Linked DNA regions of Arabidopsis thaliana. The protein of the gene in region 2 purifies or fractionates together with the protein of the main gene of each other region. This does not show direct contact. Each region holds a gene or a part of one and is shown on either strand. Other genes may lie near its edges.

Region 1 (7,450 bases), 3.2 Mb from region 2:
GTCTATTATTTAGGTTACTTAAAACAGCTTTATTCTTAGCGTGGGTTGTATTCTGCAGGATGCTAAAGATGATGCATACTATCACCTCTCATTCCAGTGAGAATCGCATGACTTCATCTGCTGTTGCTGCATGCATGTCCCCATTGCTCTTACGTCCTCTATTGGCTGGAGAATGTGATCTAGAAGGTTTTGACACTCTAGGAGATAACTCTGCCCAGCTTCTTGCTGCCGCCAATGCTGCCAATAATGCTCAAGCCATTGTCACAGCCCTTTTGGAAGACTATGGGAATATGATCAATGTAAGATTCCATTTGCCCCGTTAATTTATATCTGGTGCCACAATGCTATTTGCTCACCTATTTGTTTGCAGGATGAAGGTCTTGGGAGATGCTCCACTTCTACTGATTCTCATATTGGCGACAGTGGGCCTGAGAACTCAAGTGATGAAGAGGAAATAGTGGTTAAACATCCTGACTTGCATACTCTGGATATAGAAGAAGGGGAAACAGATGATGATAATGATGTTCTGCTAAGCAGAAAACCAAGCGAGAGCAGTGATTATGCTGGCAGTGATCTGTATGACTACAAGGTTTGTTCTTTGCCATCTTACTCCACTGCCCCATAAATCTTGGTCATAGTACACCTACATTCAGAATTCTAAAATAGGGGATAAGTTTGAACTTTGAAGTCGTTTCCATTTGTATGCATTCCGTCAACCATCTGCTACTGTCTTGCTATCTTTCGTTACGCCTAATGTGGTCTTTAGTTATGTTTGGTGTTTGAAATTTAGGTTTCCATTGCGAAACTGCCAGAAAAATTTATCCTAATTTATTCTTTTTTTTTAATATGCTTTTTCTTTCAGGGTTTTGGTGTTGAAGATTCAGATGCTGAGTCTCCTAGAGATATCCATTGTTCAGTCGAGAGTACAGACTTTTCCGCTAGAGTGAAAAAACATATTGAAGAACCTATTAAAGATATAGAAGTTTCTAGCGTTTCACCTACTGAAAACTGTTATCAATCAGGGAGAGAGGCTATACCCTCAGTTACTCCCAGTACTCCTCTCACGGCCCTTAGATACACAACATCAGCTGAGAAACCTGCAAGTAAAACTACTGGCTCATCAACAGTAAATTCGAAGCGTTCTTCGTCCTGGGGAAGAGGCAACGTAAGTTTTCCATTGTCTGGCATGAAAAGTCGAATTCTGTTGTCCTAGTCTCTGGAGCTGACTTGCTATGCATTTATTAAGTATTTATAGGATTTTTTTTTGTAATTTTTGTCTGTCCTTGTAACTCTTTGATCACCACTAGACGAAATTAGTTCTCCTGATCTCTATCGTTGTCAGGTCATGATATGAATTTCCCTTCAGTTTTCTTAATGCCATGCTTATTGGTGCTATAGGCTAGATGAGCTGTTTCCACTTGCATAATCCTATAAGAAAACTAACCATCAGCGTCTTAGGAAAATTAGATGTTACTGGAAGTCCCATCTATTTGGAATAAATTATCTTAGTACAAGTTAGTTGCATGTATGATGAAGTAAATAGTTGTAGGGAAATTGAGTTTAAGGTGATATCTCAATTCTTTTCTTTGTTTACTGTGTGCAGGGCAAGAAAACACCTGCTAAAGGATCATTTGATTCCTCAGGAAATGACGAGTAAGATAACTCATCCTGAATGTATACATTGTGGTTCTTTAACACTCCTATGAAACCTTTTTATATATATTCTATTGGCGAAACCCATATGAGATATTATGTATGGTTAAATAGGTTAAATAGGTCAAAAAGGTATTTACTGAAGCAACATTCTATTTCGCTTTTGAATTGAGAAAATAATTTTTTCTTTGTTCTAAAATGAGCTTGATGTATCCTGATGCAATGCGTTTGCTACTTGTAGGCTTCTTATACAGAGGCTCGAGCACATGAAAGATGAACTGCGACAACGAATCGCTAAGGAGGTACTTGTTCTTGCACTAGAAGTATTATGTGCTGATACCATAATGTTGTTGTATTGATTGATTAGACCACTACAGGCTAAAGGAAATGCGGCTCTACAAGCTAGCTTGGAGAGAAGGAAGCAGGCTTTGCACGAACGACGGTTGGCACTTGAACAAGATGTATAAACCTTCTCTTGAGATTTTACGTTTCTATCCTCTATTTTTTTTGGGGTATAATTTTGAGGGGAAATAAACTTCCATTTTGCTGACCAAGCTTGCCATGAAATTGTCAGGTGGGTAGATTACAAGAGCAACTGCAAGCTGAGAGAGACCTACGATCTGCTCTTGAAGTTGGTCTAAGCATTTCTTGTGGACAATTTAGCTCACAAGCTGCGGATTCCAAAGTCAGTATACACTTTAGCTAGAGAAAGCAGTTTTTTTTTTTTGGTTCTATCTCTTGCTTTCCTTAGTTCTAACATCACAATATAATGCAAAGACAAGGGCAGAGCTTGAGGAGATTGCTCTTGCTGAAGCTGATGTCGCAAGGTTGAAGCAGAAAGTCGCCGAATTACATCATCAGCTAAGTCAGCAGCGACAGCATCACTTAAGTTCACTCCCAGATGCTCAAAGCCATCACCAGTTTCTCCATAATCACAATACTCAACTGTGAGTTTACACTCGATGCCTGGTTCTAGCTCTTATTCAATAGTTCAAACGAGATATTACTCGAATGTAAACTCGCTAAGAGAAATAACAATCTATTTTTTTTCAAATTCGCAGGAAGTCTTTTCAACAGGACTTTGATTCCATTCTTGCTTTCGTTAATCACGAAAGAAATCAGAGAACGGTACAAATCTTATTATGTAACCGAGGAATCTCTATTATCTTATAAAAAATGATTCTATTATCTGTCAGTAACATTCTCTGCTATCGAATAATCTAGGATGAAACTAGCCTAAGAGCAGACTGGAGGAATGGCAGAGGAAACAACAGACAAGTACCAGGCTCACCAAGCTTGAATGCAGCATCCTTAGGCATCCCAATGGAAGAGTATTCTCCGGTTAGTGATAGTCTTGTTTAAACCAATCTCACGAGATTCAAATGTGTAAAAAGTGTGAGTAAACGGTCTTGTAGGTAATGGACTACGGAAGACATCATCATCCTCCTGCAACATCTGCAGCTCTCATGGAGCTAACCACTCGTCTGGATTTCTTCAAGGAACGACGGTCACAACTTATGGAACAGATTCAGAATCTTGACCTCAACTATGGTTCCTCTTCTTCTTCTCTGCACCGATCCTCTTCTCCACCATGGAATTAGGCTCTTTGAGAAGCTCTTGTCCAAAAAAATAGAAAAATGTAAAGAAAGTCTCGTCTGTGCAGACTCTTCATGCTTGTAAAACCGGTTCAAGGTTAAACCAACTATATATTTACCACGAAATTGATGAGAAATTGTTTGCTCTTGCTTCGTTGTTAGTGTGATTTATGTGAGTGAGGTTTGTAAAAAGTTGTGTGTATTTCCTCTGTTTTTGTTTCTACATTTTAAATGGTTGGCCGACATATAAATTCAGTTTATTGAAAAGAAGAAGTAAAAAAAGATTCTCTAGTTAGTGCTACAATGAGTCATAACCTTTTATTATTCCGGAAGAATTATTCTTGAAGGGAAAGAAAAAAACGCGCTTTAATCTCTATATATAACAATAACACTTTGGGTTTTAGACTTTAGATACGAATCAAAAACATTTGAGATAAAAATCAGAAAAGTAAAGAGACGAAAATGGCGGATCAACAAGCAGGAACAATCGTCGGAGGAGTTCGCGATATTGATGCAAATGCTAATGATCTTCAAGTCGAGAGTCTCGCTCGTTTCGCTGTCGATGAGCATAACAAGAACGAGGTACCATTCTCCCATCTTTTCCTGCCTTCATTATCCTAAAATCTGTTTGGTTGATGATCGAAGTTTATCTCTTAGCAAATCGCTGATTTTTCTCGTTCGATCTATCGAAATATAGGTCATTCTCATCAGGAATTGTTATTTTTTGTTTGAGAATTTAGGGATTGTGTCATTTGCTTCTGTACTAGTGTTGATTTGAAGATTTTGTTTCCAGAATGTTTATAAGAACAATTACTACCTGAGAAACATATATCCTCTTGTGTTGTTTAAATAAAGATTATAATAAGCGATGAGTTTTTTTCTTTCTTGTTTAAGCAATGATCTCTCTTATGTATACAGAACTTGACTCTGGAGTACAAGAGGCTCCTTGGTGCGAAAACACAGGTTGTGGCAGGAACAATGCACCATCTAACTGTGGAGGTGGCTGATGGTGAGACCAATAAGGTCTATGAGGCCAAGGTTTTGGAGAAAGCTTGGGAGAATCTCAAGCAGTTGGAGAGTTTCAACCACCTTCACGATGTTTAATCCGATGCCCTGAGCTTTCTCTGCGGTAAACACATCACATTCTTGTATGATACTCGGGTTGACACATAATTTGCGTTTGCTAATAGATGTCTTGTGTCTTTGGTTTCCTTTACTTTACAGGCTTGAGTGAGGTCCTTGTGTGCTCTCAGACCACGTGATAAGAGTTCTGGTTTAACCAAGTTAACTTCTTTAATAAGTGAAATCCAGTCCCATGTGTTTGAACTGGTATTGTGTGTATCTCTTGACTCTCGTTTGTGTATTGCTATTAGCAAACTCTCACTTTTTATCTATCTGCTTTGATTTTACAAAACTTCATGATGAAGATACAAACCATGAGTAAAAGCTAAAGGTGATGAGTATCTCTATCCCATTTCAAAATCATCTTGAAAACATCAGATGTTCACCTTGGTAGTTCAGGTATATCTCATAGTATCAGAAAATTGATTCAAGATGTAAACTTAGGTAAATTTGGATCATTGTCGGGTTTTGAAATGATATCGGTCTGTGTCGTTGAAAGTTTACAGTCAGTTGATCTGGTCATCTCCATCATCCTGTCTTTCTGCGGCAAACTCTACTCATGCTTGGTTCATGTTGCTAGGCTAGTAGGCTTCCTGCATCCAACTGGTCTCTTTTTACTCAATATTTAGGCTGAGAGTGTTGTCTTCCGCACCCTTCCACCATGAGTACCACCATAATTTGATAAGCCAAACACCAACTTTAGAGAGTGTCTGAGTATTCAAAGTCTGATTTGTTTGATCTTGTAATACCTAAAGAAGAGTTGTGCTTTTAGACAAATGGGAAGACTAATAGTCCAAAGGAATAATCTTATAAGATGAGCACCAAGCGGCACATGGGATGACTTGACGATCAAAGACAGTTCTACTCGTCTCAAAGCAATCATGGGGCTCAACCACATGTCTTCCAGACAAATAGATTTAAAGTGTCTTGTTCTTTGCTGCTTTTTTAACGACAAAACAAAAAGTAGAATACGAGTCTTGGAAAGAATGCCCTTTCTGTGTGTTTTATCTACAGTAACACATCAGCGAAATGCTTTGATGAACAATGCGATATTATTCTTATGAACTGTGTGGTTGGATACATCTGGATTCTGTTTCTCAGTAGTCAGCTCTCAGTTCTTAGTTAGCTGTCGCTGGATTTGTTTGTTAGGCTCAACAGTACTCCGGTACTGAGAGAAAGTGCAACGACACCAAGTGATGCCTCTGTTGATATGTGGAAGCCTAGAAAGAGGAAGAAATGTTGAGAGAGCTTAGTTTTTCTTGTAGATATATGGTTTAGTTCAAGCAGAAATTGCCGATGAAGAGAGAATATCTATACCAAAGAAATCAAGGATCATCTTGACTCCTATGAAGCCAAGAACAACTGCTATTGATGGCTGGGAAAGGCAAAGACAAGATTAGATACAAATCATACTAGTCCATGGGTACATAATGAGCATTACTGGCACTCTTAAGTATGTATCTGATGCTTAGCTCGAGTATGAAGTAATGAAACAGAATATGAATGAAGATTTAAAGAAGTGGTAAAGGTACCTGCAAGTATTCCAGCTCGTCCATTCCTTCAGAAATCAGTGTATAGAGAGACCTTAGTCCTGCGGCAAATTCAAACACCAGATGAAATAAATAAACTCTTCAATTCAAAGTTCCAAGAGTATTCAAAAGAGACAGGCAAGAAGTTAACAAAAATTGTGTTTAGGGAAAAAATACCTAGGATTGCAAAGAGATTAGAAGTCAAGACAATAAAAGGATCCCTTGTGACGCCAAAAACAGCTGGTATTGAGTCAACCTAAGAAAATGGGCAACCAGTATCAGTGATTTGCTTCATTTCTAAAGAGACAAAAACAGATTCACAAAGTGGTGACGGAAGTTACCGCAAATGCTATGTCACTGAGCTCGATCACTGCTACTGTAAGTAGCAATGGTGTGGCCTGCCCAAAATATTGTTGAAATAATTAGAAGTAATCAAAGGTACTATCATGAATGTTTTGATCATGGAGTCCACATGCAATAAAACTTAACAGTGACTTATACATAAACCTTGAATATATAGGAGGAATTTTGTCATATACTTACTTTCAAAATGCCATCATGCTTTGTGAAAAATCGATTTCCATCGTAACTTGCTGCAAGCAGTTATAAACAAAAGAAAAGAGGAATAAATCAGCTATGGAAGCATACCAAACAGTAAAAAGGAGAAAAAGACCGGGTATATTACATGTGACAGGAATAAATCTCTGGCATGTCTTTACAATGAAGTTGTCCGATAGATCTGTATCATCTTCTTCACTTGCAAATAACTGTATTAACACATTGAGGACAGAAAAACTAATACCATATCAATAATTGTGTGTGATTATAGGTATAAATGCTAAGATGAGGTAGTATGCACCTTGAATGACGAATATAAGAGTACAGCAGCAAGCAGTAGGTTGACTGCTTCAAATTTCTGAAAGAAAGTAGAGAGAATTCAAAAGTAAATGAGGCAGAAAAATGAAACAAATAATCACTAACAAATATTTTGATGTAAACATAGAAATCACCTGAAGAGTAGCTGTTCCTAGTAAAATGAGCGTGAAACGGAAAACAATTGCACCAGCTATACCGTAGGTAAGTACCTTATTCTATAGAAAGGGACACAGAATCAGAATACTCTGTAGTCAAGAGCTAAATCTCTGTGGCTCTGTGAAGATAGTTTTGGTACCTGATACATGAGTGGCACTTTGAAATACTTGAAAACAAGAACAAAAACAAACAAGTTGTCCACTGACAAGCTTTGCTCCAATATGTAGCTGCAAGAGTTGAAAACAGTTAAGATAGGAAATATCTCCTTGAAGAGTTAAGTGAAAATCAATATATCATATATAGTAAGCTCTACACACCCTGCGAAAAACTCTGAAGCCTTGCCAACACCTTCCTTCAAACCTATTCCAATTCCAAATGCCACCGCAGTGCCAACCTATTGAGATAACTATGAAATCAGGTCTCGCACATAGATCAAAAACGCATTATCACTTAGTAGATGCAAGAGAATACTAACACACAAGGCAACAGTCTTGAAGGAAGTTTTGTAAGTTTCTTCTT
Region 2 (7,561 bases):
GTCTTGAACCGAACCAAACCGAACTGAACTATATTAACCGACCGACTTCGTCCTTTCCTCCTGATCAAGAAAACTCGTCTCCTACAAAAATCCCAGAAGACAAGAGATTGGTTCTTCTTTTGCATCATTCTTACAAAATCCCCAAAATCATTCGAAACCCCTGAGTATTCTCCTTAACTCTAAGAAATAAATTTCTGAATGGATGCATCGTCTTCACCGTCTCCTTCCGAGGAAAGCTTGAAGCTTGAGCTTGATGATCTTCAGAAACAGCTGAACAAAAAGCTGAGATTCGAAGCATCCGTTTGTTCTATTCATAATCTTCTCCGTGATCACTACTCTTCTTCCTCTCCTTCTCTCCGCAAACAGGTTGGTTTTTATTCTTAGATTTTCGGATCAATAGATTCAAAATTATTCGGAATTGTTAGGGTTTATGCCTGCCTTGACGTTTACTCATTGCTTATGTCTGATGATGGGTTTAACTTTTGAGGATTGAATCAGGAATCAAATATCTTTCTTTTATTGTTTTTCTATTTCAATTGTGGAGAAAGTTCATGTTCATGTCAAAAATTTCATTTAATCCGATCTGTTTTTGTTTAGTTACCCTCTGTGACATAGTATTGATTTGATTGCCATTGCAGTTCTATATAGTTGTATCTCGTGTCGCTACGGTTCTTAAGACAAGATATACAGCTACTGGATTTTGGGTTGCTGGACTGAGTCTTTTCGAAGAGGCTGAGCGACTTGTCTCTGATGCTTCTGAGAAGAAACATTTGAAATCTTGCGTTGCTCAAGCTAAGGAGCAGTTAAGCGAAGTAGATAATCAGCCAACAGAGAGCTCACAAGGTTTGTGAAACATTTAGTTTGGCTTTTGATGGTTTTAAGTGAAATTTATCTGGAGATGATTTTTATTTCTCTTGTGAATTTTTTGCAGGTTATCTTTTTGAGGGACATCTTACGGTTGATCGTGAGCCGCCACAGCCTCAGTGGCTAGTACAGCAGAATCTCATGTCTGCTTTCGCTTCTATCGTTGGTGGTGAATCCTCTAATGGTCCTACTGAAAACACTATTGGGGAAACTGCTAACTTGATGCAAGAACTTATCAATGGTCTTGACATGATCATTCCAGATGTAATGCCTTCTCTTTTCTTCCTTACTAGTTTTAGATTATGTACTATCACACATAGCTGATATCACAAGTTTCTTCACCTAAAGATAGAGATGAAAGCAATTCTTAATCATCCGCATTCTACTCATATGTTGTTTTTTGCATATTGAGTTTCTCCACTTGGTTGTCTCACTCATCTGTATCAAGAGTGTTTAACCTCAACCTCTAATATTGTATTGGTAGCGTCTTTTTCTTAGCTTCATGATTGAAAAGTGATATATGATGTGTTCTATGCAGATACTAGATGATGGTGGACCACCAAGAGCTCCACCGGCAAGTAAAGAAGTTGTAGAGAAACTCCCAGTCATTATTTTCACCGAGGAATTGCTTAAAAAGTTTGGAGCAGAGGCAGAATGTTGCATCTGCAAGGAGAATCTAGTTATTGGCGACAAGATGCAGGAATTGCCATGCAAGCACACATTTCACCCTCCTTGCCTAAAGCCTTGGCTGGTATAAAAAAAAAAATCCCATTCTTTCAAGCTTACTAGTAAGTAAGAACATAAAGCTTATGCTCATATTGTTTTATGGCAGGACGAGCATAACTCTTGCCCTATATGCCGCCATGAATTACCAACAGACGATCAGAAATACGAAAACTGGAAAGAGAGAGAGAAAGAGGCCGAAGAAGAGAGGAAGGGCGCAGAGAATGCTGTCCGCGGAGGTGAATATATGTACGTTTAAATTTCAATCAGTTATGGCACACTCCCATTGTCTTTCCTTGAAACATCTCCGAATTGTTGTTCATCATTCACAATTATAAATCCCATTTTACATATAGATTCAATGTCTTTTGTATGAAAGCTTATAATAACAACACAGACTTCTTTACTTTACACACAATTGTATCTTGAAGAGATGACAAGTTCAATAACATAACATCAAAGAGTCATTAGTTAGATAGACTCTAGGACAGTGTTACTAACTACAATAGTTTCTTCAGTAGAATTGTAAAATGGCAAACATATCTGACCACTCCCAGACATGGAAACAATCTTCGGTTTGTCTAGCAAACCTATACAGACACTATCATACAACACATTACACACAGCAGCGTACATGATAGATTATCATATTAATTACTATATTGACAAAACGTTTTACTTAGTTTGCTTATAAGCTTAATGTGGAGGTTTGATCTTCTGCTAAGCAGTTGGAAATTCCTCCTTGATAGAGACATTGCCTGTTGGGACATCTGTCTTTTTGAAGTCTGAAGTAGGGTAAGGGTTTTTGTTGACCAATCTGCAGATAAAAAAAAGTGAATGTTATTGTTAGATGCAATATCAAGGTTAAACATTATGATCAATCTGTCTTTACAAGTCTCTCACAGGTACATTAACAAGCTCTGTATTAGTAATCAATCAAAAACTGAATAAAATAGATCAGATTTGAATTTCCATTGAAATGGAGAAGGATGAAGTGTAATTTTAAAGGCTGCATACCTGTCCCGTCTTTTCTCGAGGAATCGTTGAAGCGAATGCCTCCTTGCAATAGGTAGATCTGTTACGGCAAACATAATTGTAAGAAACTAATGAGAGTATCCATTTTCAAGGTTTGAAGATTACTATAACCAGTTGAATCGAATACTTACCAGCCGTGGATCTGCAAAACGAGATTGGCTGAATAGGAAATGGCTGTGCAGCTGGTGATGCCACATTAGATGTGCTTGAGAAAGAAGGAGCTCTGTTCAGTGCTGGCGATGAGACAGGACTGATGCTTGTAGAATTCTTTGTCTCCATTGCTTTAGCAGCAATACGAAGGATTTCTTGAACCTATAGGCATAGATCACAGTGAGAACAGAAATTCTGAAGTTTTTCTGACAACAACAAAGCTCTAATGGACCAACCTTTTCTGATGGAAGTCCATCAAACACAGTAACACTTCCACCAAAGAAAATAGTAAGTTGATTTGGAGGAACCGTTGGCTCAGCGGTTTGAATCTCCGTGGACCTTCAATAGCAGAAGATCTATTAAACTTGTGACCGACACTATAAAGATGGACTTATTGATGCAACATTAAGAAAACTCTCCACATATGAATCCAGTCTCTCCAATTTCACATGTTAACGGTGAAGTTCTATTAATCAAATTCACATGAAAACTTATGTATGCATTAAAGGACTTTGAAAAACACAAGTTTGTTAAGAATCCAATTGTTCCAGCCAAAAAACAAATTGGTTCCATTGAGAAATATGACTTTCCCTAAATAGAAACTAAAGTAACCAGATCGAAATGCTGATCTTCCTTATCAGAAACAAGATACAATTTTAAGTACTAAACTCAAAGCAAAGAGAGAAACAGATAAAAACATGTGAAATCAACAGTAAACACAGCTCATACCTAACTTCGTTAATCGATTTCTCAACAGATCCGGTACCGCCGATCTCAGCCGCGCCGCCGTCACCGTCGGCAACACCACATCCACCTTCAACGGAAGCGCGTGGCTCATCTTTCACCTTAGTCATGGCTTGTCTCTCAAAATTTGTAGATCTGTCTTTTTCCGATGAGAATTTTGATACTTCTCTCCCTTAGAGTACTTTTGTTTCGCTTCGTCTCTACGTCGTTCAGACCGGGAACCTCCGAGATTTATCCTTCTCAGAAGCTCCTGTAATTTGACACCTGGCGATAGATATTGATTTTTATTGTTTGACTTTTGGTGCTACGACAGTAAAAGACAACAAGAGGGTAATTAGAAACGTGCTCGAATATGATACGGTGTCGTTGGCCTTCTATGTGGGACATGCTTTCTCATTTCGGTTATCCGGAACTCCAAACGTGTATAATTTATAAGTGGCTGAGACGTTAAACTAATTGAGTTTGCTGGACCTTGATTCATTGGGCTCTTAAAGTACTGTTGGGCTTAGTCGTCTTAAAATGACTTCTAAAATGGACCTTGACTGCTTACATTTATAATGTTTCTCTTTCTATTTTATAAGCCTCTTTACATTTATAGTTTTTTTTAGTAACAATATTCGCATACAAATCACGAATTAATTTATTTCTGTTTTTGTATTCGACCGCTAAATCATCACCAAATTCAAATTTGTATATGGAACATTTTTTTTTTTCCTCTATATAATCAAACAAAATGCAAAATTGTCGAAACTATAAAATTTACTTCTTAATGTAACTTATAACTTTTTGGTTAAGGGTTAATCTAAACTTTTTAGTTTTTACTGAAGGGCGCATAAGAAATCTGGGAAATACGAGGGTAGTTTGGTCTTTACGAGTTTCATTTAGGGTTCCGAAAGATCTGGGTTTTGGCTCTCTCCTCTCATTTTCTACTCTTCTTCAAAAGCACACTCAATATTTCGAGATCCTCTCGGCTTGTTCGTTCTTCGTGAACGATCCCATCTATTGTTTCTCGCTAGTCTCAGATTCGACTAACTTGGATATCTCCGATACTGAAGAAGCCTCCTTCTTCTTTTTCCGCTCTTCCCGATGCCGGTAATGTTCCTCCGTCGTCTCTTTCAATCCTTTTGCTTTTCCCCAGTGCTCTCCGTTAACTGAACTTAGCTATTTCGTATTTAGATCGATAAGATCTTCAAAGATGATGCTAGTGAAGAGAAGGGAGAACGTGCGAGGATGGTGAGTCTTTTGAATCGATTAGGATTTAGGGTTTTTCAGATTCACTCTTCTACTGTTTAAATCTGATTTTCTTTTCTTTTGTTGTTGCTCTTTTAGGCATCATTTGTTGGTGCAATGGCTATCAGTGATCTGGTTAAGTCTACTTTAGGGCCAAAGGGCATGGTAATTTCCGATCTCTGAATATTTAGAAAGCTACAAACTTTCAATTTGGTTCTATTGATTATTGTTGAATCCTTTTTATTATTGTTTAGGATAAAATCTTGCAATCTACTGGTAGAGGTCATGCGGTCACTGTTACTAACGATGGTGCTACTATTCTCAAGTCACTTCACATAGACAACCCTGCAGCTAAAGTTCTTGTTGGTATGTAATTTCCCTGCGACATTCTGGCATGAAGTTTTCACATTCGTTTTTTCTTAGTTGGGTTTTCTCTCACAGTTCGTTGTATCTGGTTTGTTCTTCAGACATCTCGAAAGTTCAAGATGATGAGGTTGGTGATGGAACTACCTCTGTTGTTGTCTTGGCCGGCGAGCTTCTGAGGGAAGCAGAAAAGCTTGTGGCTTCTAAGATTCACCCTATGACCATCATAGCAGGTACACTTTTGGAGCTTTAAGTGTTAAGATGTCAACTTTGTATCAGCTTCTCTCACTATGGCAATGATTTCTAATTTTTTCGTTTTCTGGTTTCTTAGGTTACAGAATGGCTTCGGAATGTGCTCGTAATGCTTTACTGAAAAGAGTCATTGATAACAAGGACAATGCAGGTAATCATTATAGAGATGGTTAAACCTTGTTATGCTGACATATTTAAGTATAGCATTTTCTTGTTTGTGTGATTACTTCGACTGTTGGGTTCAAGCGGTGATTTCCTTTCAGTTGAATACAGAACGGAAATCACACTGTTATTTTACAGCATTGTATTTTTGTCAATGCAGAGAAGTTTAGGTCAGACTTGTTGAAGATTGCGATGACTACTTTATGTTCCAAAATTCTCTCACAGGACAAGGAACATTTTGCAGAAATGGCCGTGGATGCTGTTTTCAGGCTAAAGGTTCCATTTCTTCCTCCTTTTGAAACTGATTCAGCAATGTCATGTGTTCCTTCCTTCTTTTTCTCTTGATTTATGTGTTATCTCATGAAAGAAGATCTTCCTTTGACGAAATGTCATGAAATTAGGCTATTATCATTTCACCATTAGTCTTTCCCATAGTTGCATCGTTTCGTTTTGGATTGTTATATGATTTTTTTCTGACATTCTGCTTTTATCGTTCAACAGGGAAGCACAAACTTGGAAGCTATTCAGATCATCAAAAAACCTGGAGGGTCTCTGAAGGATTCGTTTTTGGATGAAGGGTAAGACAACACTTTGTGCCTTTGGCGTCAGTTCAAATTCAGTTTTCTGAGCTATTGATCTTTCTTTAGTATTCATCTGTTCATGGTAACTCTGTCGTGTTTCTTTTCTTCTTCATAGCTTACGCACCTTAATTTCATTTATAGTGTTATTTTGGAATGTTGATAGTCATCATGTCATCTTGTTGTGTTGTGTTTCTTCTTCTATCGAGTAATATGGTCTCATGTCACCTCAACTTAAAATCTATGCCTGTAGGTTTATTCTTGACAAGAAAATAGGAATTGGGCAGCCTAAGCGCATAGAGAATGCAAATATCTTAGTAGCTAATACTGCTATGGATACCGATAAAGTGAAGATTTACGGTGCACGTGTCCGTGTGGATTCCATGACCAAGGTTGCTGAGATTGAAGGGGCTGAGAAGGAAAAAATGAAAGACAAGGTGAAGAAGATCATAGGCCACGGAATCAACTGCTTTGTTAACAGGCAGTTGATCTACAATTTCCCTGAGGAACTCTTTGCTGATGCTGGTATACTTGCTATTGAGCATGCTGACTTTGAGGGAATAGAGCGTCTTGGTTTGGTTACTGGTGGTGAAATTGCTTCGACCTTTGACAACCCAGAGTCTGTTAAGCTTGGGCATTGCAAGCTTATAGAAGAAATCATGATTGGTGAAGACAAGTTGATTCATTTCTCTGGTTGTGAAATGGGCCAGGCTTGTTCAATTGTCCTAAGAGGGGCCAGGTATCCATTTTCACTCCCATTACTTGAAAGACTTCGTCTAAACTTTATTCTGTTTCTAATTCACTAATCAATTTTTGTATGGGTTCTTTTTTCTTGCAGTCACCATGTCCTAGATGAGGCTGAAAGATCACTCCATGATGCCTTATGTGTACTCTCTCAAACAGTGAATGATACTAGAGTTTTGCTTGGAGGTGGATGGCCAGAGATGGTGATGGCAAAGGAAGTAGATGAGCTTGCAAGGAAAACTGCTGGCAAAAAATCTCATGCCATTGAAGCTTTCTCACGTGCTCTAGTTGCTATACCGACAACAATCGCTGACAACGCTGGTTTAGACAGTGCCGAATTGGTTGCTCAGCTTCGTGCAGAGCACCACACTGAAGGGTGTAACGCTGGGATCGACGTCATCACTGGAGCTGTAAGTAAACTTTATAAACATTAGGATTCGCCATTGAATGTGCAAGGCTAGACTTGAATTGTGATGATGATGATTGATTGTTTACAGGTAGGAGATATGGAAGAGAGAGGAATCTATGAAGCATTCAAAGTGAAGCAAGCGGTTCTGCTTTCAGCCACAGAAGCATCTGAGATGATATTGCGAGTGGATGAAATCATTACATGTGCTCCTAGGAGGAGAGAAGACAGGATGTGAAAAACTCAACACAAACACATGAACGTGGTGGGAGCCTAGAGATTCCATGATTGTGTTTTCGATTTGGATCAG

Evidence for each region.
Region 1: the proteins of JAZ12 (region 2) and CYS1 purify together in Arabidopsis thaliana (affinity purification with mass spectrometry, with the first as the bait; one study listed by BioGRID). This does not show direct contact.

What each region holds. Positions count from the first base shown.
Region 1 is NC_003076.8:3,920,197-3,927,646, reverse strand, and holds CYS1 (cystatin-1), read left to right. Parts: upstream 1-3,588; 5' UTR 3,589-3,710; coding exon 3,711-3,830; intron 3,831-4,166; coding exon 4,167-4,352; 3' UTR 4,353-4,377; intron 4,378-4,472; 3' UTR 4,473-5,056; downstream 5,057-7,450. Other genes in the region: AT5G12150 (Rho GTPase activation protein (RhoGAP) with PH domain-containing protein), read left to right, coding at 59-299, 371-589, 863-1,165, 1,604-1,653, 1,895-1,955, 2,031-2,114, 2,228-2,338, 2,431-2,600 and 3 more; PDE149 (integral membrane TerC family protein), read right to left, coding at 5,493-5,590, 5,688-5,745, 5,903-5,961, 6,077-6,155, 6,241-6,297, 6,443-6,492, 6,585-6,666, 6,759-6,815 and 4 more.
Region 2 is NC_003076.8:7,086,948-7,094,508, reverse strand, and holds JAZ12 (jasmonate-zim-domain protein 12), read right to left. Parts: upstream 3,806-7,561; 5' UTR 3,627-3,805; coding exon 3,502-3,626; intron 3,112-3,501; coding exon 3,009-3,111; intron 2,935-3,008; coding exon 2,754-2,934; intron 2,663-2,753; coding exon 2,605-2,662; intron 2,595-2,604; exon of another isoform or gene 2,405-2,594; coding exon 2,308-2,404; 3' UTR 1,970-2,307; downstream 1-1,969. Other genes in the region: AIP2 (RING/U-box superfamily protein), read left to right, coding at 199-366, 639-843, 932-1,128, 1,403-1,615, 1,697-1,846; AT5G20890 (TCP-1/cpn60 chaperonin family protein), read left to right, coding at 4,603-4,608, 4,693-4,749, 4,846-4,911, 5,001-5,112, 5,214-5,342, 5,441-5,512, 5,684-5,799, 6,025-6,101 and 3 more. UniProt on the Arabidopsis thaliana protein: Repressor of jasmonate responses.